Linked DNA regions of Canis lupus familiaris. The protein of the gene in region 3 interacts with the protein of the main gene of each other region in a pairwise test. Links are inferred from orthologs where the notes say so. Each region holds a gene or a part of one and is shown on either strand. Other genes may lie near its edges. The genes, in order: DDX19A, DDX19B, MIF4GD and EIF3G.

Region 1 (4,941 bases), on a different chromosome or scaffold from region 3:
ATAGGGAAAACTATGGCTTAAAAGGGTGGGGGCGGGGGTGGGACCACTAAATTTTCCAAAATGCAAAATTTTTTTCTACCTTCCCCCATCATTTGCACAATTTTTGTCTAGTCCAAACGTAATTTAAAATGAGGTAGGTAGTTTCTCTCTCCTCTGCCTCCTCTTTGTGATAACGTCGAGGCCTGTGCCGTGAAAGCACTAGTCTTCCGTGCAGGTGGAGTGAGTGCCAGGCGTGGGCACTGGTGACTGGTGGAGCTTCTCAGTTGGCTATCTTCTCAATCTCGTCCAAATCATCCGTGTCCAATCTTTCTATTTTCTTATCTGGGGAGGAAGATGAGAATTCAACATGGGGCTACCACAGAGATCCACCCCTAGGGAAGGGACAGCATGGCACAGGGAGAGGAAACACAGGGTTCTGCCCTGCCTAGGGATGGGCCATGCCTCTGGCCACAGCGACCTTTCACTTAAGCCCAAAGACTCCCAGTGCCTGAGCAAGGGACAGAGCCCCGGGCCCCTGAGGCTGGCCAAGGGGGAACTGTGATTTGCGTCTCTGACCCTGAAAACTCGCCAGGTGTGGTCTTGGAGGACTTCCCTATTGTAGGGAAGGAGAAGACTGTGTTGGGGACAAAGGCCTTTCTTGGGGCCACAGGAGAATCTACCCTTCACCCCCTCCCTTGGACTCGCCCCTAAGGAGAGGGCACACCAGTAGGGACACTCCCAGGCACTCACTAAAATGCTCCTGGATTCTGTTGAGGATGTTCATGCTGTGCTTGCTGTCAACCATGTTCACTGCCAGGCCCCTCTTGCCAAAGCGGCCCGTGCGCCCGATCCTGTGCAGGTAGGTCTCGTTGTCCGGGTTCCCGTCCTTGTCCACGGGAAGGTCAAAGTTGATGACGACAGAAACCTGCTCGACATCAATACCTGCATGAAAGAGGTGGAGAGGTCAGGAAGGGAGACAAAAATCACCACCAGCCAAGCAAGGCCAACATATACCAGCTTCATGTGGAAGAAGAGTCTGGGGCAGGTTGGCTCTGGGATTTGGGGCCAAGGGGCACCTAGCAGAATCCAGAGGGAAAGACAACTTTGGCAGGGTGCCAACAGAATTAGGACATCAGTAATGCAGCCAGAACCTCACTGGGGGCCCCAAAGAGAAGGTGCCATTCTGGACCAGTGAGGTGCCTGTCCCTGTCCTTCCACCACATCAGGGCCCCTGGCTTCTGTGACAATTCTCATCTGCTGGGGGAATCCAGTCTCTCCCAGGAAAGAATGCCAGCACCAAGCCCATGTGGACTCGCCCCGAACCAGCAGAGCGCCCCATACAGGAGGACTTCCCTTGCTACTCAGGGCCTGGCAGACAGATTCTCTGCTCACCGCGGGCACACACGTTGGTGGTCACCAGCACCTTCTCCTTGCCCTCTCGGAAGCGCTCAATCACCGCAGCCCTCTGCTCCACCATCATTTCGCCACTCAGCAGGGCCACCTGGTGGCCTTCTTTTGAGAGCTCTGCTGCCAGCCAGCTAGCTGTTTTACGGGTCTGCAAAGAAGGAAACATTTGAGAAATCAAGGTATCTGAAAGAATATTTTTGATCTAGAAGACTCTACCTGAAACTTACCAGCTGATGGTTAAACTTCCTAAAATGATGGGGCGCCTGGGTGGTTCACTCAGTGGAGTGTCTGCCTTTGGTTCGTGATCTCAGGGTCCTGGGATTGAGCCCCATGTCGGGCTTCCTGCATACTCCCCCTTCTGTCTCCCCCCACTCCACTCATGCTCCTTCTCTCTCTCAAATAAACAAACAAAAAAAAACAAAACTTCCTAAAACTGTTAACATGACATGCTGTGACAGGAAGTAACAATGTTACTTGGATATTTATCTCACAGAAATATTTAACCTGAATATAATCACGAGGGGGAGAAATGAAAGAAATTCTTAACACTACTTACTAGCTTGGACACTTCAATATGTTGGAGTCACAGAAGGTGGGGAAATTGTTCCAGGTTAAAGGAGTCTTGAGAGACAGGACAACTAAGTGCAATGATTTCTGACTGGCTCTTACATTTAACACCACCAACCAAAAACAATAAAGAAGGTTTTTGGTACAAGTGAGGAAAATGGGATATGGATGGACTAGACAGGGGATAATATTATTATGTCATTGTTAAAGGTAGACAATGGTATTGGGCTTATGTAGCAGCATGTCTCATTCTTGGGAAGTACTTAGGTGTAAACTCTCATGATCTCTACAACTAACTTTAAAATACTTCACTAAGGGGCACCTGGGTGGCTCAGTTGGTTAAGCGTCTGCCTTCAGCTCAGGTCATGATCCCAGAATCCTAGGATGAAGCCCTGTATCGGGTTCTATGCTCAGCAGGGAGTCTGCTTCTCCCTTTTCCTCTATGCTCACGCACATGTGCACTCTCTCTCAGATAAATAAAATCTTTCCAAAAAATTAAAAATAATAACTTCACCAAAACCAAAAAGCACGGATGTGTCACACATGTGAGCACATGGATAAAAAGCAAAGTGGCTAAATGTTAACAATAGGTGAAAGGCATAAAAGTGCTCAGTTTCTTTTTTTTTTTTTTTTTCATCTTTTCTGGAGATTTGCAATTTTCAATCCGAAGGTAACAGTCTAAAAAAGCTTTTTCAGGGGCAGCCTGGGTGGCTCAGCAGTTTAGCGCCACCTTCGGCCCAGGGTCTGATCCTGGATACCCGGGATCAAGTCCCACATCGGGCTCCCTGCATGGAGCCTGCTTCTCCCTCCGCCTAGGTCTCTGCCTCTCTTTCTCTGTATGTCCCCCATGAATAAATAAATAAAATCTTAAAAACAAACAAACAAACAAACTTTTTCAATGACAAGTCCTCTAGTAACAGAGTAAGATTTGTCTCATTCTAATATCCCTTAGCATCATTTTTGTTTTCTTTTTCCTTAACAACATTTTTGAAGTGTTCTTCAAGTATCCTGAATATTTATTCTTGATTTTTTTCCTATTAATAGGATCTAGCCTTCCTTTTTTTTTTTTTTGACACAAGGACAATGTTTTATTTTTAAGTTACTATGTTACTGTATGCAGAGCAAAAAGTATAGTGACTTATCTATTTGTGCATTCCTGTTTTACACATCCTTGAATTATAAATGATTGAACAAATAATCAATTATTAGCCTTCTATTTTTTAAGTATTTGCTGTTTGAGGGCAGCCCAGGTGGTTCAGCAGTTTAGCGCCACTTTCAGCCCAGGGCGTGATCCTGGAGATCCGGGATCCAGTCCCACATCAGGCTCCCTGCAGGGAGCCTGCTTCTCCCTCTGCCTGTGTCTCTGCATCTGCCTGTCTCTCTCTCTCTCTCTCTCTGTCTCTCATGAATAAATAAATAAATAAATAAATAAATAAATAAATAAATGAAATCTTAAAAAAAATTTGCTGTTTGAGACTAGAAAACAACTTATATTAATTTTGTAACCAGCTACTATATTTAGTCTCTTATTTTTCCTACAATTATCAGTTGATTCTCTTGTGTTGTCTAGTAACATATCACCTACAAATAGAGACTCTATTTTTTTTTTTTAAAGTAAGCTCTAGGTCAAACAAGGGGCCTAAACTTATTATCCCCAAGATCAAGAGGTGCATGCTCCATGGCCTGAGCCAGCCAGTCCCTTAGGAACTCTATTTTTAAGCCATGTATACCTTAGGATACTAAGACAGCACTATCCTACATCTTTATAAACCATTCCTTTCTGGCCACACAGGGCCTCTGGTCCTCCTCAGCACCTAGTTGGAGCTGGCTGTGAGGAGGGGCAAGCACCTCCTCCAGGGCAACTCCTCCCCCAGCAGGCCTGCTGCTGCCACTGCTACTCACATGGCAGAAGATCATGGCCTGAGCAATGGTGATGGCCCCGTAGAGGTTACACAGGGCCTGGAACTTCTCATCTCTGTTATTGCACAGGACGTAATACTGTTTGATGGTGTCCAGTGTCTCCTCTTCACGCTTGAGTTTGATGATGTTTGGATCTGGGACCACTTTCTGGGCAAATTTCCATACAGAGTCTTCGAAGGTGGCAGAGAAAAGCAGCATCTGGCAGTTCTTGGGCAGCATCCTGCAAGGGAAGACCCAGGTATGTGGCATGATCCCGAGTCTTTCCCTGGAAGGAACAGAAGACAGCTGCCCGGGGTTGGGTGATCCACATGCCCAGGAGAGTGGCAGAAGGGGGAGGAGAACAGCAGGGAGGAGGCGAGAGCAGCCATGGGGCAGGGACGGGGCTGGTGTTAGATTCCCTAAATCTCCTTCCTCAACCCGTGGTCAGTGCTGACGAGGATATTGCCCATCAAACAAATGCTTCTGAAGGTTCTAAAAGCAAATAACCCAGCTGGAGAAAGAAGAGGGGTTAGATATAGCAGGAGGAGATACAGTGAACAAGATTTTTACTTGCAGATCAAGAGGCGAGAAGTTCCTCTTGGCTCAAGAGTTCCTACCTCTGGATGCGGATGCTCTGATCTTGGTGGCCCTGAGTAGCTATCATCACGTCAGCCTCATCCAGAACAAACACCTTGATCTTCTTGGGGTCAATGAACTTGAGCTTGGAGCACCAGTCCAGAACAGTCCCAGGGGTGCCAATGACAATGTGCTCACTGATTTTCTGACCTCTTTCCACTGTGGAGACAAGACATTTTCCGTGGGTATTTCCATGGCAAACCAGTTTTGGAAATCAAAGCCTTGCCCATCCTTCCAGAGTGAGTAAAACAAGTTAATTCCAGATGTCAAAACACAAGAGCATTATCCATAAGTCTTGGATTCTTCTATTTTAAAGTCGTACAATGGCACCTATGTCCCAGCATAGTGGTCAGGATTCAATCCTATGCAGTGAATTCTCAGTAAGTGCCATGTCTCTCTTCTGTTTCCTCCTGTAATTCAGCATTATCCTACTCATTCTCCTTGGCGTTACTC
Region 2 (6,361 bases), on a different chromosome or scaffold from region 3:
AACCTGTACATGAATAATCACAGCAATATTATTCATAATAATGAAAAAGTAGAAAACAATCCAAATGCTCATCAGTGGACACTGATGGATAAATAAAATGTGACAAAGGAATATTACTTGGCAATATCAAGGAATCAAGTACTGATACCTACTGCAACATAGATGAACATTGAAAACATTATGCTAAGTGAAAGCAACCAGACACAACAGACCACATACTGTATGATTCTACTTATATAAAATGTTCAGAATAGGCAAATCTAAAGAGAAAACAAGCCAGCGGTTGCCAGAAAAGGAAGGGAGAAGGGAGTGACTGAAAGTTTGAGGGAACTTTTTTTTTTTTTAAGATTTTATTTATTTATTCATATGAAAGACACAGAGAGAGAGGCAGAGGGAGAAGCAGGCTCCATGCAGGGAGCCCAATCGATCCCCAGTCTCCAGGATCATGGCCTGAGCCAAAGGCAGGCACCATCCCTGCAGCCACCCAGGGATCCCTGAGGGAACTTTTTGAAGGTGGTGGAAAAGTTCTGTATCTTTTTTTTTTTTTTTTTAATTTTTGTTGTTGTTGTTGTTGTTCTGTATCTTGATTGTGGTGGTGGTTACACAACTGGATGCCTTAGTCAAAATTCACAGAACAAGGATGAGTTTTACACTGTGTAAATTATACCTCAATAAACTTGACTTAAAAATTTTAGAGGGCCAGGCCAAGAGGTCCAACAGTCAAGTAGTAAGAATTCTTGAAAGAATGCAAAGAGAAAACAGAGGAGGAGAAATCAATAATGAAATTTTTCAAGAAAATTTCTCATAACTTAAGGACAAGAATTTTCCAGATTGAAAGGACCCACCCAGGAATGCCTGGCTGGCTCAGTCAGAAGAGTATGCAACTCTTGATCTCAGGGTTGTGGATTTGAGCTCCACATTGGTTGTAGAGATTACTTAAAAATAAAATTGAAAGAAAAGAAAGGACCTACCCAGTGCCCAGCAAAGTGGATGAAAACAGACCTATACCAGGACTCATTATCATGAGTTTTCTGTGTACTGGAAACAAATAGAAGATTCTTATGGATTATGGGATCCCTGGGTGGCGCAGCGGTTTAGCGCCTGCCTTTGGCCCAGGGCGCGATCCTGGAGATCTGGGATCGAATCCCACGTCAGGCTCCCGGTGCATGGAGCCTGCTTCTCCCTCTGCCTGTGTCTCTGCCTCTCTCTCTCTCTCTCACTGTGTGCCTATCATAAATTAAAAAAAAAAAAAAAAAAAAAAGATTCTTATGGATTACAAATGAGAAAACAGGTCACATCAGGAATCAGAATGGTCTCAGACATCTCAATAACCAATAAAGAAGTCTAAAAGGCAATGAGACAATGCCTTTAAAATTTGGTAGGCAATTAATTCCCAACCTGCAGCTCTAGACCGAGCCATACCACTATCCAAATGATAGAGCAAAATAATTATTTCCAGAAATGCAATATTATCTTTAAAAAACTTCTTATATACTCCAGAAAGCTGGATGGATGGTTGCACAAAATCAAGAAAGATGAAGAGAGGATACAGAAAGGAGGGGATCCAGTACAAGAGAAGAGGAGTGAATCTTCAGAATGAAGGTGAAGGGAAATCTGTCTTGTTCCTCTCCAGTCCTTGAAATGAGTTCTGCTCTAAACCTAGGGAGAACTAGTCCAGTATGAAGTAGGCTAAAAGACCTGGGGGAAATAGAATTAATAGACTTTTTTTTTTAAATTAAAGATTCTAAAAATAAATAAATAAATAAATAAATTCTTAGGCAGCCGAGGTGGCCCAGTGGTTTAGCACTGCCTTCAGCCCAGGGCATGATCCTGGAGACCCAGGATCGAGTCCCATGTCAGGCTCTCTGCATGGAGCCTGCTTCTCCCTCTGCTTGTGTCTCTGCACCGACCCTCCCTCCCCCGTCTCTCATGAATAAACAAACAAAATCTTTAAAAAATAATAATAAAAATTAAAGATTCTAGGGACGCCTGGGTGGCTCAGTAGTTGAGCATGATCCCAGGGTGCTGGGATCGGGTCCTGCATTGGGCTCCCGTGGGGAGACTGCTTCTCCCTCTCCCTATGTCTCTGCCTCTCTCCCTGTATCTCTCATGAATAAGAAATAAAATCTTTAAAAATAATAAGTTTTTTTGTTTATTTATGAAACAGTGGGAGGGGCCAGAGAGAGAATCTTAAGCAAACTACACACTGAGCACGGACCCCCACATGGGGCTGGATCTTACCACCTCAAGATTGTGACCTGAACTGAAATCAAGAGTCAGTTGGTTAACTGACTAAGCCACCCAGGCCCCCCGAATTAATAGAATACTTAATTTGTCTGAACATCCTGAGATAAACTAAACAATTAGCAAAGTGCCTGAGGTTGAACTGGTGATAAGTACAAAAAAAACCATGAAGCGTGTTTTTTATAAATTCCAAGGAAAAACAAAACTTTATAGGAAAGTAAAAGTATCATAAGCTACTAATAAGATAAACATGAAATACTGATCTAACTAAAATTACAATATAATGAAAAGGTAAGGAATGGGAAGGTGTGCGTGTGTGGTGGAGAAAGGATGGAGGAAAGAATTAAAATCAGTAAATACCTAAAATTGAAAATTCAAGAACTAGCAAAACCCTGTGATTTAGAGAACAAGGAGGTCAATGATGTATATCCGTTTCAAGAGAACTATTAGTTTTTCTCTGGGAAGGAAAAATTGGTGGTGGTGGAACCAGTTTTCAAAACTACTTGACTCTTTGAATTATGTGCATATAATTTATTATCAGTTGTATAAAAAATAAGAAAGAGTCCTTATTCTCAAGAAATTCACAGAAGTACTAACAGAAGTAGGTTCAAAGTGTTTAGGTGGAAGGAGTTAATTCCACATAGTCATGTTTAAGTCATATCTTGCTTACTGTGTACTAAGCCCAGAACAAAATTAAGGTGATCAGAGAAGAGGATTTACTGACTACCGGGCCAATGGAGTCGTTCATTCATCATCAGTAAGCAAGTAAGGAAGCACACAAAGATGAGTAAGCCACAATCCCAGAGCTCAGGAAGCTCACAATCCAGAGGTAGGGAATGACACAGGGAGATTATAATCCAAGTGGGGAGAGCGCAATCTCGATCAGTCTGGATTCCAGAAGACAGGCGGCTGGGCGCTAGATCCATGGGAGCACTCACCTGCTCTTATGTAACCCAGGAGGCGGATGGATAAACAAAGCCAGCTCAAGGTTCAGGCTCCAGCCTCACACGCATCCTATACCGTCCTGGCCAAAGCAGCGAGTGTCCTACACAAGGGTGATCCCCGGCCAAAACTGACCCCCTGACCCATTTACGCCTGAAGCCAACTCACCGACTCAGCCGCCGCCTCCTGTTCGTCCACCGCCAGGGCCCACGAGTCGGTGGCCATGGTCCCAGGCGCCGGCGGGACGCTGGTGCTGGCAGACTCGCTGGCTGGGGCGGCGCGATCGTGGGCTCCCTGGCGTCGCAGCAAGCCCAGCTCCCGCCCCACCGAGGGAGCAGTCATTCGCTCGGGAGCTGGGGACCGGAAGCGGCGCGCCGCAGTGACGTCGGATCTGCGCCCGCCCAGCCGCCCCTCGCCCCCCGGGAGCTGCAGCTTCCGTCGCTTTCGGACCCCCGGCGCTGACCCTTGCTTAGCTCTGTCTACCTGGTGAACAGAGACGCAGACTGCCAACTGGACCTCCAGGCCACGAGCGCGCTGGCACAGAAGCTCATAGAGAGCCAATCTATCAAAACACAGGACCTTTACTAATACAGGCGTCACCAAAATGCGTATTGAGACGATCTTTTTCTCTTCAGGACAGTCATTTCAATGCCCAGGGGTTGGCAATCAGCCATGTCAAGCACCATTTGGTTAAAAGTTTGTCCTGCAGACTATGTCGGCAACACGACTTGCAGGAATTTCACTTTCAAAAATACTCAAGGAAGGTGCTAGGGAAATGTGTTCCAGGGAGAGGAGAGAAAAGGCCAGGAGGCCTGTGTCTGAAGGACACAGTTCCTGCGGGGATTGACAAGAACCAGAGATGAAGAGATTGGAGGTAGAGGCAATGGGCCATGCAAAGCAGCTTAATGAGCAAATGAATTCATTCCAGGGAACATCGCGAATCTGACAGGACTTTTGGAGTTAGCTGTGCCTGGAATGGAATCCCTAGTGCTTCCATGTAAGAGTTGTGTGATTGGGGGAATTTTTTTAAAAGGAAAAAAATACCTTGGATTTTTAGAAGAGGTAAAATAATAATGTCTGACACCCGCTATCCCCTAACTGAAAACAAACAAGGTTCTCTCCCCTTGTTACTTCACTGATAAGAAGCTGGGCATTTTCCTGCAAGGTGAGAAGATGAATCCTCACTTCTCTTTGCCACTTTTCTTCAGCAAATTAATTTTAAGCAGTAGTGGGCTCTATGTGGGATTTTACTTCAGAATATGAGTAAGAAAGTTCAGGAAAGGTAAAGCAGTTCCAGGCAATACTTTATTTGCCATGGCTCTTTTTCTCCTGTACTCTTGAGGGAATTAATTTGGTGAAGATTTTTTTATTTTTTGGAACCTACAGGAAGGACGTGCAAAAAGAAAAAGGCAAACACACAGTGAGGGAAGCCGTGACCTACATCTCATATCGGAAGCAGCCCTGGGAATATCTTGCCAGCAAAGTTATATTGATCACAGGGCTAATGAAGGCTAAAGACTTTTTTTTTTTTTTAAGTTTAATGCGGTTAAAAAGGAAATCATCCAAAGTGCAATACTGTATATAGTAGGATCCACTTGTGAGGAGATAAAAAAAAAAAAAAAAAAAACCTCTCATGTGTTTGTAGGTACTATAGAAAATGTATGAGATACACACAAAACTGCTAACAGCTGCTCCTAGTGAGGGGCTCTAGAAATCTGGGGTGGGAGAGACTTCCTTTTTGATGTGTACACTTCATCCTCTGAAATTTTCAATGTGCATGTTTTCCTTTTAAAATTGTATTTCAGACAAACAAGAAAGGGAATGCATACAATAGACATCCATAGGTTCCCACCTTAGGGTTTAAGAATGAAAACAAGATTTGATGGAAGCTTCCTGTATGACCATCCCAAGAGACAGCAGCTCTCCTGAATTTGGTGTTTATCTTTCCCACAAACGCTTTTAGCACATGTTACTTTCTCTATTAAAAACCCCAAAACTTAATAAGCATCAGGATTCTAGGGTCTTCTATCCCCACCCAGGCACCCAGCACAATATGAGCCACCTGCTAAGAAGCGCTCTAGTTTACAAAGTGGAGCGTGGAGGGGATTCAAGGTCATAAGAGCCCCCGGATTTGAAGGTAGCCTTCTGGATTTCCTCCCACACGACCTCGGCAGCCTCTATCTTCTCTGAAGTCATTCTTAAGTGGGTTAAGTACCCACTGCACCGCTCAGTGATTCAACAGTCACACGGTTATGTGATATAACCGTTGCCTGGTCAATGGCAACGGTTTGATAAATATTAGCTGTTACCACTATTCCTGCCTCTCCCCTCCAGGGATGGGGGTGAGGAAGACGCTAAAATGTGGAAAAAGGGTCTCGTTTCTAACCTCAGAGATACTCACGTCGCCCACGGGCAGGGAAAGCGGAAAGCGCCCCAGGGCACGGCCTCGGAGGCGGCCGGCAGCCCCGGCCATCGCCCCTCAGCAGGGCGGTTGCCTCCACCAACCGCCACTCACTGCCCCCGCCTCATTGGCTGGGGCCTGAAGCGGTCCGGCCAATCAGCGGAGGGGACGACCCAGCCTCCGGCAAGTGGGCCTAGAAGCTAAAGGCTGAGTCTAGGTCAGCAAGGGGCCCTTTGCATATTGAATTTTGTCATATTTTGCTGAATATCCAGCTCTTTGCTAGACTGGAAGCTTCATGAGGGCAGGGCATTGTCTGCTTTCCTTAATATTGATCTTCAGAGACGAATGCATAATGGATACCCATTTGGTGAGTGACTAGATGAGGAATGGACATCCCCCAAATATGTCAAACTTTTAAATCTTTATCCTTGAACATAGGTGAAGAATTTCATTCCTAGTTTATGCCCTTTGCTACTCCAGGTGTGATCTTCCAGCAGCTGCAGCAGCAGCATCATAGATATCAGTACCTATGGGAGCCTATCAGAATGCAGTCTCAGGCCTCATTCCTATACCTACTAAATCAGGATCTGTATTTTAGGATACCAGGTATTTCCTTAAAAACTTATGGTCTGAAAACTATTCAATCACTCTCATTTGACCTGATAGCAAATAAATGAAAGATCTAAGTCCATTTTATAGATGATAAAAATATTTTAGGTGCCATGGGAGAATTAGGATCTGGGACTACATATTTCCAAAACTAAGTATTTAAGT
Region 3 (5,401 bases):
GCCCGGCAGGTGGGTCCCGGCGCTCGCACGGCCTCGCCCGCCCGCGGGACCCCGGACGGCTGCGCTGCGCCACCCGGAAGGGGGTTCCGGGCTTGGGGAAGCCGCCCGGCTTTGGAGATGCCCGAGGTCGTCCTTGGACTCGGGGGGAGGCACCGCGTCCGGAGAGGGGACTCCAACGGGGACTGCCGGAGACGCGTCACCGGCTCCCCTCGTCTTTAGGAGGAAGGCTCCAGGATGGAGCTCCCGAGTGTGGAGTCCTGAGTGGGCAGGGTCGGGTTTCTGCCGCTCGGGAGGCCAGTTTACCCGGTCTGTCCCGGGGAGAAGTTGGCCCGGACCGGAGCGGATCAGCCCCGCACCCGCCCGCACAGGCCAGGCCGAGGGCTGCCGGCCGGGTTTGGGACTGAGGATTCTGACTACAGCCCAGGGATGAGTCGGGGCGGGGCGAGTGGAACCCTGCTGGGATGGACGTGTCCCGAGCCCTCGGCCCTGTCACTCTCTGGAAGTCGCGCTGGGCGAGCAGCTTCCAGGCGGGCTTCCGGAAAGGCAGGGAGCCGTCTGATATGCCCCCTACCAACACCCCCAGCGCAGTGCACCTCCCCCCAGCCTGGGTATCAAGAATAACTCTACCTCCTATGGAAATTGAAGGGTAGGCACGTCCACCTTCACCTCTTGTGTAACCCCAGAAGCTACAGGAGTTCTAAACAGCAGCAGGTGCCTGGCTGGTGCCCAGTCTCCACCAGAAGTCAAGCTTCCTGGGCCCTCAGCCAACCACCCAAGGCAATGGACTGGCCGGGAGCACCTGTCCCGAGCGCTGGCCAGCCCTGGCTAGCCCTGGCCGGGGCCTGCAAGGTAGAAACCAGGCCCTGCGCTGCACACCTGAGGCCTCTCCCTTCCCCTCTCCTTCCCAGGTGCTGTCATTAGTCCCTCCTCTGTAAAGAGCTGTGGGGGCTGGATGGTCATGGGGGAGCCTGGTAGAGAGGAGTATAAAATCCAGTCTTTTGATGCAGAGACTCAGCAGCTGCTGAAGACAGCACTCAAAGGTGAGCATGGGAGCCCTCCTGAGCTGTAGGGATGGGGCCAGTGGGATGGGCCTGGAGGTCTGAGCCTGGGAACATCCAACCCTTTGCTTTCTGAGAACAGGAGTCAGCAAAGTCACTCTTGGACGGCAGGACAAGCTACACTGAGGCCAGTAATTGAAAGAATGAATCATAGAGTCGCCTCTAGGGCAGCAAAGCCATTTTTTAAGGTTTAAGGACCCATGAAAGGGGGATGGAGCACAGAGAACGGAGTTCTTGTCTCCTAAGCGCTTACATTGGACCTGGCTTCCAAGTTGCCACAGCAGGTGGCCTTGAATGTGCAGAGCTGGCTGACTCGGGACAGAGGATGGAGCACTCTGCTTGGCAGAAGAGAGGCAGTAATTGTCCTGGACCAGTGCCTTCTGCAGCACTCAGAACAGAAGTTTGACTCAGCTAACAATTAGTAATGCCCATCACATGCCAAGCTAAGCCTGCTGGGGAGGCCCTGCCTGGCCCGCTCTTGTTAGGGGTTCATGTGTGTGTGTTGTAAGAACACTTTCTTCTGTGAAATTGCTGTCAAACACATCGTTATTCTGTGCTCCTTCCGCAATCTTAGTGCCAGGGAATGTGTGCCCTAAGAAAACTAGCGTTCTGTGATTAGTCTCCAACAGCGGCATAACCCAGCCACCAGCTGCTCCTGTGTGGTTACTTCTCCTGGTGTTTTCTGGTCTCTTTAAATGTAAGCATATCATGGGGGGTGGCTCCTTTGAAAACATCTCAAACTAGAAGCACGTGGAGACAAATGTAGTAATTCAGCAGCAACTCTAGACTTCCCACCTATCTCTGCCCTAGAGCCAGGTGCTGTGGACTTGGAAAAGGTGGCCAACGTGATCGTGGACCATTCTCTGCAGGACTGCGTGTTCAGCAAAGAAGCAGGACGCATGTGCTATGCCATTATTCAGGTGGGCTGGGACTGCAGAAACGCAGAGACGTTTTGGGAAAGGCTGAAGCAGAGGGCAGGTCTGGCTGCTGGCAGGACAGGAGCAAACGGCTTCCCTGAGAGGTGGAGTCAGACAAGAGGGTCCTCAGCCACTGAAGCTGGGAGGGGGGCCCACCATGGCACTGCCTCCGGCTCACCCTCCTTTCCCTGGCTCACAGGCTGAGAGCAAGCAAGCAGGCCAGAGTGTCTTCCGACGGGGACTCCTCAACCGGCTGCAGCAGGAGTACCAGGCTCGGGAGCAGCTGCGAGCCCGGTCCCTGCAGGGCTGGGTCTGCTATGTCACCTTTATCTGCAACATCTTTGACTACCTGAGGGTGAGGCCCTGGTAGCCACCCTGTGCAGCAGAGACAGCCTATCTCCTTCAGCCACTAAGCCAGGGCTCTGCACACCCCCTGCTCTCCCCCTACAGGTGAACAACATGCCCATGATGGCCCTGGTGAACCCTGTGTACGACTGCCTCTTCCGGCTGGCCCAGCCCGACAGTCTGAGCAAGGAGGAGGAGGTGGGTGATCCGGGTTGACAGCTGTGGAGGGGCAAGCCCTGGCTCGGCTCAGAATACCAGCCCACTGTCTGTGGAGGCATCCGAGAGCACCAACTTCCTAAGGCAGGAGCCTGGTGGGGATATTCAAGGCCTGTCTCAGTTCCAGGACAAGCTGCCAGACCTGGAATTTATCCAGAACAGAGAGCAGGCCAAACCTTCAGGCTCAGACGCTTTCTTCCCAGTAGGAAAGCCATCCTGTGATCGGAATCCAGCTGTGGATACAGATGGCCCAGAAAGGCAGTCTGGCAGGGCCGGGGAGGGGCAGAAAGCCTGGGTTAAGTGGCAGCTTAGAGACAGGCCTGGCATCCAGTCCAGCCCAGGAGAGCTCACGGGAGTCCTGAACTTGTCTCCATTAATGGAAGATGTGGCTAACACCCACCAGGTGGTGTGAGCATGACCAGGGAAGGCGTAGGGGGCCTGCGCGCAGCAGCTGTGATGGGCTAGCACCACCCTGGGGATCACATCTCCCGCCCCCTGCAGGTGGATTGCCTGGTGCTGCAGCTGCACCGGGTAGGGGAGCAGCTGGAGAAGATGAACCGACAGCGCATGGATGAGCTCTTTGTCCTGATCCGGGACGGCTTCCTGCTCCCCAGCGGCCTCAGCTCCCTGGCCCAGCTGCTGCTGCTTGAAATCATCGAATTTCGGGCAGCTGGCTGGAAGACGACCCCGGCTGCCCACAAGTATTACTACAGTGAGGTCTCCGACTAGGCCTCCAGCTCAGGCTGCCTCACCAGCAGCACAGGCCTCTCACCTACCCAACTCCCTGACTCTCCCAAAGACTGTCCCTTGCAGACCTTCAGTGGCTCCTGAGAAGTTCCTCACTTACATGGTGGTCCTGCCCTGAGCACCTTCTCTCCTGGATTCAGGGACTGGGGAAGACACCACACAGACCTGCCCTCACCGTCCCATCAACCTCTACCCCATCACCTCCAGCCTGGGCCATGCAGAGAAAGGCAGCTTCTAACACCCACTGCACTGTGTAACCACCAGTGCAAGAGCCAGCTTGGTGCCTCAGCTTCCCCATTTGTAAAATGGGTACCCAGAGCTACTGGTGGGATATTTTGGGATATTGAGGGGCAGAGCACAAGTCACCCCAGAAGCTGCTTTTTATACATTTTGTACAAGGACCACTTTGGAAACGAATGTATTTCCAGTCAATTTTAGTAAATGGCAGTTTCCATATCACATGCTACACCAGTTCAGGGCGAGAATTTTCTAATAAATCGTTTCTAATATTAAAACTGCTTCCTTTCCTATCATTCCAAGTTCTACCCTGAATTGAGAGAGAAGCTGGATAGGCCCTAAGTTCCTGGGGGAAATCCAGATTGATGTCTCCTCTTTGTGAGGAGATAGAGCAGGAAAGGCACGTCCAGCCCCCCAAACAAAGGACTAACAGGCATAAATACATTATTCCACCCTTAGGCTGGCCTGCCCTTAAAAAGGAACTACTTAGCCAGCAGGTGATTTTCACTGGGATAGTGGCTCCCATTATTTCTTGCAGTGGAGCACCTCTACCACCAGCGGTAGTGAGCCAGGGCACGGTTGGCCTCAGCCATCTTGTGCATGTCATGCTTCTTCTTGATCACAGGGCCCTGGTTGTGAAAAGCCTCCAGCAGCTCGTGTGACAACTTCTCTGGCATCAGCATCCGCCGGTGCTTCTTCTCCCTGCACTCCTTAATCATCCACTTCATGGCCAAGAAGCGACGACGCCGATCAGCAAGTGGCACAGGGACCTGGACAAGACGTGGGCAAGTTAGTCCAACAATTTGTCAGGGCTGCAGCCTCCCTCCTCCTTGAGCTCTAAGGAGTAGCCACAGGTTCCCTCTGAGCTAGCACTGACAATGCTCCTGAGGAGAGGGGCTTGGCTTCTCCTTTGTGAGTCCCCCTCACTCCCGGCAGATCTCAGTGCAACAGACATAGAGGCATTCATTGCACAGATGCTCATTAAGCAAAGACCTTGCTCACCTCTAAATGAAAGCTCACCTAGGTTGATATGAACATCAACTGGGAAAAGCCCCATCAAACTGGGGTGACTTAGCCAACTCAGATCAGGGGTGCCTAAAAACAAGACGCTCTTGTCAGTAAGTGTTTGCTAGACCACTACTATATGCCAGCTACCATGCCAGACCCTAGGGACACAGATGTTAATGAGGGTCTCCACGCTACATTAAAAAAGCAGATTAGAACACCCACTTGTAACACTGACACAGAAGTAAAAGCTGTGATAGAGCCTCATTCAATCTAAGAAATGGTGTCAAAACATGAGTCATGGGTCAAGCTCTAGACGTGGGTGTATAAAGACAAGTTCTACACATAGTCCTTCAGAAGAAGCTGACAATTTACAACACAGCACAGTGGACAGAACCGGGGTGGGGGGGTGGGGGCATCCAGAAAAGGTAATCTGGATACTTCTTTGCTCTCTTTTCTATCCTCTGCCTGTTGAGTTCTACACTAGGACTCAGGTGAGCAGACTGTGACAGAACCTGGTCCCTATAAAATTCAATCTTGACCCAACTCTGGGCCCTCCCACTCCCAAGCATTCCCCAGCCCACCCCTACCATCTTGTCTCATGGGTGGGCAGCCCTGCTTCCAGCCCTGACTGCTCACCTGATAAAAATGGCCCCCTCTGAGGATGGGTACCAGCCCTATCACGGGTTCACAGTTTTGCAGTGCTTGGTGGAAGATGACATAGGGGTTGCGTTCGATGGTGGCCTGTTCCTCTGCAGAAGCAGCATGGTACTTCTCAAACTGCTTCCTTTTCACAGCTTCAAGAGTCTGCAGAGAGAAATATTGGAAGATGCTGCCCCAGACTCCCTGAAAGGTTTATCCAGCTGAGCTAGTACC
Region 4 (6,415 bases), on a different chromosome or scaffold from region 3:
TTCCTGTAAGTCAGTCTCACGAGTGTCCTCTGACAGGTTGGTGACACGGATAGTGGCATTGTCGTCGGCTACACAGGCAAGGAGCGACAGCTTGTAGAGGACAGCCCTAACCAGGCCCTGAATGAAGGATGACCATGGGACTAAGAGGTGCCCACCCGCCACTCACCTCTGCGGTTGGGCTGCATGGACTCGCCACGGCGGCTGGCCCCATCCCGCAGGCTCGGTGGCACATACTTCCCCGTCTTGTTCTGGGCAGCCTGCACGGGCTCCAGCTCTGCAGACCAAAGCAGCTGGGTCAGGCCTCACCCTGGCACAGGTGAGGGACAGATCCACCCCAGGGCGCTGGCAGCTCTGGCCCTGACCCAGCCCAGGCACCGTCTATCAAGCCACAGGTATCTGGTTTGTTCCACTGGCCGCCAGGACATGAAGGTCACATCTGGCAAGTCAGAGCAAGATCCCACTGGCAGCCCCAGGGCTGAGAGCTAGAAGAACACAGGAACATGCAGGGGCAGCCCCCGGGCCCCACACTCATGGCAGCTAACAAATGTGCTGCACACCGAATCACAGCTGTAAAACTTGCAGAGTCAACCCACTATCAGCAAATCACACTGAAGGACATGGACACAGGCTGCAGTCACATGTGCGAGTCTGCGCGTGTGCGTGCACACACCCACGCACACAGGCCATGGTCCCCTCTGTGGCAAACAAGGCACACTCCAGTCTGATCACAGAGTCTGCAGCAGAATCACAGCTCCAAGTCTCAAGCACACGCAGCCAGACCCATAAAGGAACGGTTCGCCAGCCCAACACGGAACAACGGTGGTGTTACCAGCAGTCTTGGCACCACCCCGCTGGTCTCGCACACTCACACAGACCACAGCCTGGCAGCGCTGGTGCCAGTGAGAGAGGACAACTTCTGATGCGGACAGCCCCGTTCACAGCAGCGGGTGGAGACCGAGGACACTCCCAGAGGTGCACGCAACCCGCCCCACCCCGTGGTCCGCCAAGCCAAATCCCAGGCCCAGGCACCTCCGGGCAGCTTCTCCTTCTCGCCGGTGGACAGGCCCAGCTGCTCAGCCAGCTCCTTCTGCATGGGCCCCAGCGTGTCCTTGTAGGGGCAGCGGGTAGTCCAGTGGTCGCCCTTGCAGATGCGGCAGGACACGATTTTCTGGCCCTTGAGCTTGTTCATCGGGTCCTCCTCTTCCTGGCAGTTCAGATCCTGGGGGGGGGTGGCAGTCAGAGCAGGGTTGCCACACCCTGGCCACCACCATCACAGCCACCGGCCCAGACCCTTGCCCAACTCACCTCTTTGCTAGTGATGAATGTCATGGACACGTCGTCACTGACTGTGGTGGTGGCCACGTTGGGCCCTGGTGGGTCAAACTCCGAGTTCCCAAACTTCTTCCAGTTCTGGGCTCGGGGCGGGATGGGGGACTTGTAAGGGCAAGTGGGACCCCCACCACCACTCGACCTACAAAAGCCCTCCCTTCAGGGTGTTTCAGCCTTGAACCACATTCTTCTCCCTCCCCCAAGTCTCCCAAAAGTGGTGACAACGACAGTTCCCATTTCCTAGCGTGTACCACTCCTGGCATGTGCTAGCCGCTAGCTTCAGGCCAGCTCCAGGAGGTGGGGACGGCTCTCAGCCCAAGTTCCAGAGGAGAGAACCAAGGCCCAGGGGGAAACAGTCACACAGTTAACCATTCCTGAGGCACCCATGACAGGAGGTGGGCCAGCTCCCATAAGGAAGTGACGCCCAGGGGTCACCCAGACTGTGAGGGGCCTTGAGATAGTTAAAAAACCTAGGCTTAAAAAAAAAAAAAAAAAAAAAAAACCTAGGCTTGGGCAGCCCGGGTGGCTCAGCGGTTTAGCACCGCCTTCAGCCCAGGGCGTGATCCTGGAGACCTGGGATGGAGTCCCACATTGGGCTTCCTGCACGGAGCCTGCTTCTCCCTCTGCCTATATCTCTGCCTCAGTCTCTCTCTGTGTCTTTCATGAATAAATAAAATCTTTAAAAAAAAAAAAAACCTAGGCTTCAGCTTTCTTCCCCACCTTTTTAAGATTTTTATCTATTTATTCATGAGAGAGTGAGACAGAGAGAGAGAGACGCAGAGACACAGGCAGAGGGAGAAGCAGGCTCCGTGCAGGGAGCCCGACGTGGAACTCGATCCCAGGACTCCAGGATCACACCCTGGGTGGAAGGCAGGCGATAAATCGCTGAGCCACCCAGGGATCCCAGCTTCCTCCCCTTTAAAATGGAGACCTCAAATGTTCCCCACCTCCCAGGACGGCTAGGGGTAGCAAATGAGAAAACACTTCCTGCAAAACACTTGCCATTGAGGTCTGGCACAGAGGAAGTCCACCGAAAATTGTGCCAATGCTATTTACAGCTATCACTTCTTCCTAAGCATGTAGCCCAGTTAAACAGGAGCTGCTATGACCGCCTGAGGGGAGGGCTTGGCTCTGTTCCTTCTGGTAAACAAGTAAACAAGCTGAGCGGAGTTAATCTAAACCACCCAACTTCTGCACCCTGGACTTTTCAGGGTCCCAACAGAGCACAAACACCCCTCAACCTTAAACCCCCTTGATCCAACAGAATAGAGACAGAGTTGAACCCCACTTCTAAAAATAAAGGTATCAGATCAAAACGCTGTCAACAAAAAGGATTCCTAATTCCTCCAAGCCAGCCCTGGGAGAGCCTCTAAGACAAGAGGAGAAGCGTCTCACCTTCCTCCTTGCAACAGCCTTGGAGGCCTTCCGCGTCTCAATTCTGAAGGTGCGGACGATCTGTGGAGGGGAGGGGAGAGGCTCCGAATTCCTGTGTTTCAAGGCTCTGGAGCTAATCAACCCAACCTACCCAACACACACACCATCCCCTCCGGGCCAAGGGGCCCCCAACTCCTCCCCCAGCCTCACCTTGAACTTCTTGCCATCCTCATCTATCTTGTACTCTGTCACTGTCTTGATGTTCCCATTGATGACCTCCTTGGGAGGCGGCAGTGGAGCTGGGAGAGAGAAGAGGGGAAGTAACTGAGCCTTGGGTGATGGAGGGGGAGGGGAATGCTGCTGGGGAGAGGGAGCCCCGAGTGGAGCTGAGGGCGTCACTCACCTCCCGGCACTAACTCAGGTTCTGGGCTGGTGTCGCCAGTGGCCAGAGGGATCCCCTTGAGGAGCTCGCTGGTGACACATTTGTCTAGGAAGGGGAGTGTGGGTAGGAGGGGTGAGCTGGAGGGGCGAGGGCTCCCAAGCTAAAATGAAGGGACTTCTGGGATGACGCCCACACCAGGGGCCTAGACGGCAGGGCCAAGGGCTTAGGCCTGGGGACCAAGTGCCCTGGGCTAGCCGTGCCAGGCCGTGGCGCTGGCTGAGTAATCTCGCGCAATGGCAAGGATGAAAGCGAGGGGCAGCCCATAAAGACATCCGGCGCTCGCACCCAAGCAGGAGGCTGGCTGTTACAGCTTCCTCCCCGGAGCAGCTGTGAGGCTTGGGCGGTGGCAAGGGAGCGGGGGGACCGGCCAGCCGGACACTTGGAAGTGGCGACAGGCTGGCGGGAGGCGGGAGGCGCGGGGGGAGATGCGGCACCGGACGGCGGTGCCCGGCTCGGCGCAGGCGCCCGTGACCCGGGGCGACCCGGCGTACTCACCGTCCTCGCCCTCCTCCTCCACCTGGTCGGCCCAGCTGGGCTTCGAACTGCAAGGGCAAGGTGGCGGAGGGGAAGGCTGGGTCAGCGAGGCCAGGCCCCGAGGAGCGCCCCCACGGCCCCCAAGCCGCCTCCCAGGCTTCGCTCCGCGACCCTCGACTCACTCAAAATCTCCGGTCGGCATTTCAAAACCTCCTCCACGCAGCACAAGTCCCGGGCCAGAGACCGGAAGTGGGGGGAGGACGAGACTTCCTGCGCCGCGGCCCAGAGCAGCCCGGCAGCAGCGCCCACAGCGCCCCCTGCGGCCGGAGGCGGAGGCGCCGGCCGTGGCACCTCCCTTCGTTCATTCCATTCATTTCACCTTTTATATGTTGGCAAGTTGAACACCGATAAAAAATAAATTTATTTTTAAAAAATCACCAACAGGGATCCCTGGGTGGCGCAGCGGTTTGGCGCCTGCCTTTGACCCGGGGCGTGATCCCGGAGACCCGGGATCGAACCCCACATCGGGTTCCCGGTCGGTGCATGGAGCCTGCTTCTCCCTCGGCCTGTGTCTCGGCCTCTCTCTCTCTCTCTCTGTGACTATCATAAAAAAAAAAAAAAAAAAAAAAAAAAAAAAAATCACCAACAGGGATCCCTGGGTGGCGCAGCGGTTTGGCGCCTGCCTTTGGCCCGGGGCGTGATCCCGGAGACCCGGGATCGAGTCCCACGTCGGGCTCCTGGTGCATGGAGCCTGCTTCTCCCTCTGCCTGTGTGTGTGTGTGTGTGTGTGTGTGTGTGTGTGTGTGTGTGTGTGTGTGACTATCATAAATAAATAAAAAATTTTAAAAAAATCACCAACAAAGGAGAAAAATCAGTTTGAGCTAAGATTTTGCCACACCAGCATTCCATGCCAGTTGGCAATGGAGCAACGTGCACAAAACTGCGAGCGGACTATGACTCAGAAGTATCAAGACCAAGATATCAGTTGAATATAAAGGTGACTTGTGCACATTTTCAAATATGAGAGAATGTATGGAAGGACCCTATTAAAAGAATAAGGACAGTGCTTAATGATGAAGTCTAATTAACTCATAGATGAATAATAATACATAAACCAGAAATAGAAAAATGTGAGTATAGTGAATAGTGCTGAACAATGAATCCATTTATAACTAGAATGAACGCTAAACAATTAGGAGGTCATGAGCACAGAACAGAATGTAAATGTTATGAAAATGGGCAAAGTGAAAAATAATACAAATATCAAAAATAAGATTTGGGAAGGGGACTAGCTAGTCCAGATTCAAGAATTAAGAGGACCTTCTCGGGATCCCTGGGTGGCTCAGCGGTTTGGCGCCTGCCTTCGGCCCAGGGCGTGATCCTGGGGCCCCGGGATGAGTCCCGCATCAGGCTCCCTGCATGGAGCCTGCTTCTCCCTCTGCCTGTGTCTCTGTGTCTCTCATGAATAAATAAAATCTTAAAAAAAAAAAAAAAGATGACCTTCTCCTATTCTAATTTTATGCCAGAGAGCAGAAGTAATTCCTCTCTGGAGCCCAAAACCTTAAATGATCTCTACATGTTTTATATACAAAGTAGCAGTCCATGAACAATAGGACTAAATGAATGGAACCCCAGTTAAAAAGAAAAAAGAAAAAGAAAGAAAAGGAACAGACACATAAATGATCCAGTTTTTAGAAAAAAAAATTTAAAGGTACTAATAACACTAAAGCTCACTTCTCGAGAGCTTATTGTAGGCCAGGCACTGTGAGGGGGAAATTATAATTTTCTGAAGAAATTGTATGGTGGCAGGTGGTGAAGAATCCAGGCTGGACTTCCCGGTCTGGGAAGAGTTTTCCTGATTCAAATGATCAAGATGTCAGAGGGCCCCTCTGCCCCTCTTCCTCCTTTCTTTTGCAACATTCTTGGCTCTCTGATATAATCCTTCCCACTCACTTGTTTATTGTCCAGCCGTCCCTGTAGGGTATTATTCTCAGTGGGAGCCTCGTGGCTCCCAAGGGGGCTAAAATGAATTCTTGGGTAGCAAAACACCTTGAATATTATTACAATGGCTGGTGGCTCTCCAAAAGCAACTCTCCTAGACAAAATCTTATGCCTAAGTATTTACTTTCTATCATTAGGGAGAAATTAAATGTAACTGGATTGAAATTAGATGTATTTTTTTAAAGATTTATTTATTTATTTATTTATTTATTTATTTATTTGAGACACAGAGAATGAGAGAGAGAGAGACAGAGATACAGGCAGAGGGAGAAGCAGGCTCCTTGCAGGGAGCCCGACGCGGACTCGATCCCAGATCTCCAGGATCACACCCCAGGCTGCAGGCAGCGCTAAACCGCTAAGCCACTGGGGCTGCCCTGAAATTAAATTTAAAGAGGGGCACCTGGGTGGCTCAGTCGATTGAGCTTCTGCCTTCAGGTCAGGTCATGATTTCAGGGTTCTGGGACTGAACCCCGCGTCGGGCTCCCTGCTCAGCAGAGTCGCCTCTCCCTCTGCCCCTCCCCTGCTCCTTCTCTCTCTCTCTCTCTCTCTCTCATAGATAAATAAAATCTTTAAAAGCTTTTTAAAATTAAAAATAATTCCACTTTTCTCCTTTAGAGGGGCAATAATGTAAAAAGGTTGAGAATCTGAGGATCCCTGGGTGGCTCAGCGGTTTGGCGCCTGCCTTTGGCCCAGGGCAGGCCCAGGGTGTGATCCTGGAGACCCGGCATCAGGGCGTGATCCTGGAGGCCCCGGGATCAGAGTCCCACATCAGCCTCTCCGCAGGGAGCCTGCTTC

Evidence for each region.
Region 1: the proteins of MIF4GD (region 3) and DDX19A interact in binary tests that used the Homo sapiens proteins (3 or more experiments, as listed by UniProt). The two-hybrid records come from large-scale screens. The link is inferred for Canis lupus familiaris from reciprocal best matches to the Homo sapiens genes MIF4GD and DDX19A.
Region 2: the proteins of MIF4GD (region 3) and DDX19B interact in binary tests that used the Homo sapiens proteins (3 or more experiments, as listed by UniProt). The link is inferred for Canis lupus familiaris from reciprocal best matches to the Homo sapiens genes MIF4GD and DDX19B.
Region 4: the proteins of MIF4GD (region 3) and EIF3G interact in binary tests that used the Homo sapiens proteins (3 or more experiments, as listed by UniProt). The link is inferred for Canis lupus familiaris from reciprocal best matches to the Homo sapiens genes MIF4GD and EIF3G.

What each region holds. Positions count from the first base shown.
Region 1 is NC_049226.1:76,933,457-76,938,397, reverse strand, and holds part of DDX19A (ATP-dependent RNA helicase DDX19A), read right to left. Parts: intron 4,648-4,941; coding exon 4,470-4,647; intron 4,094-4,469; coding exon 3,856-4,093; intron 1,535-3,855; coding exon 1,372-1,534; intron 922-1,371; coding exon 730-921; intron 322-729; coding exon 260-321; 3' UTR 1-259. UniProt on the Homo sapiens protein: ATP-dependent RNA helicase involved in mRNA export from the nucleus.
Region 2 is NC_049226.1:76,887,762-76,894,122, reverse strand, and holds the start of DDX19B (ATP-dependent RNA helicase DDX19B), read right to left. Parts: upstream 3,552-6,361; 5' UTR 3,529-3,551; coding exon 3,355-3,528; intron 1-3,354. Other genes in the region: AARS1 (alanine--tRNA ligase, cytoplasmic), read left to right, coding at 5,883-5,954. UniProt on the Homo sapiens protein: ATP-dependent RNA helicase involved in mRNA export from the nucleus.
Region 3 is NC_049230.1:6,106,685-6,112,085, forward strand, and holds the end of MIF4GD (MIF4G domain-containing protein), read left to right. Parts: exon of another isoform or gene 1-9; intron 10-908; 5' UTR 909-952; coding exon 953-1,040; intron 1,041-1,868; coding exon 1,869-1,978; intron 1,979-2,174; coding exon 2,175-2,330; intron 2,331-2,425; coding exon 2,426-2,518; intron 2,519-3,037; coding exon 3,038-3,265; 3' UTR 3,266-3,541; downstream 3,542-5,401. Other genes in the region: MRPS7 (28S ribosomal protein S7, mitochondrial), read right to left, coding at 4,069-4,290, 5,165-5,332. UniProt on the Homo sapiens protein: Functions in replication-dependent translation of histone mRNAs which differ from other eukaryotic mRNAs in that they do not end with a poly-A tail but a stem-loop. May participate in circularizing those mRNAs specifically enhancing their translation.
Region 4 is NC_049241.1:51,336,541-51,342,955, reverse strand, and holds the start of EIF3G (eukaryotic translation initiation factor 3 subunit G), read right to left. Parts: upstream 3,917-6,415; 5' UTR 3,822-3,916; coding exon 3,802-3,821; intron 3,688-3,801; coding exon 3,641-3,687; intron 3,191-3,640; coding exon 3,107-3,190; intron 3,003-3,106; coding exon 2,914-3,002; intron 2,785-2,913; coding exon 2,725-2,784; intron 1,411-2,724; coding exon 1,306-1,410; intron 1,220-1,305; coding exon 1,030-1,219; intron 275-1,029; coding exon 167-274; intron 69-166; coding exon 1-68. UniProt on the Homo sapiens protein: RNA-binding component of the eukaryotic translation initiation factor 3 (eIF-3) complex, which is required for several steps in the initiation of protein synthesis.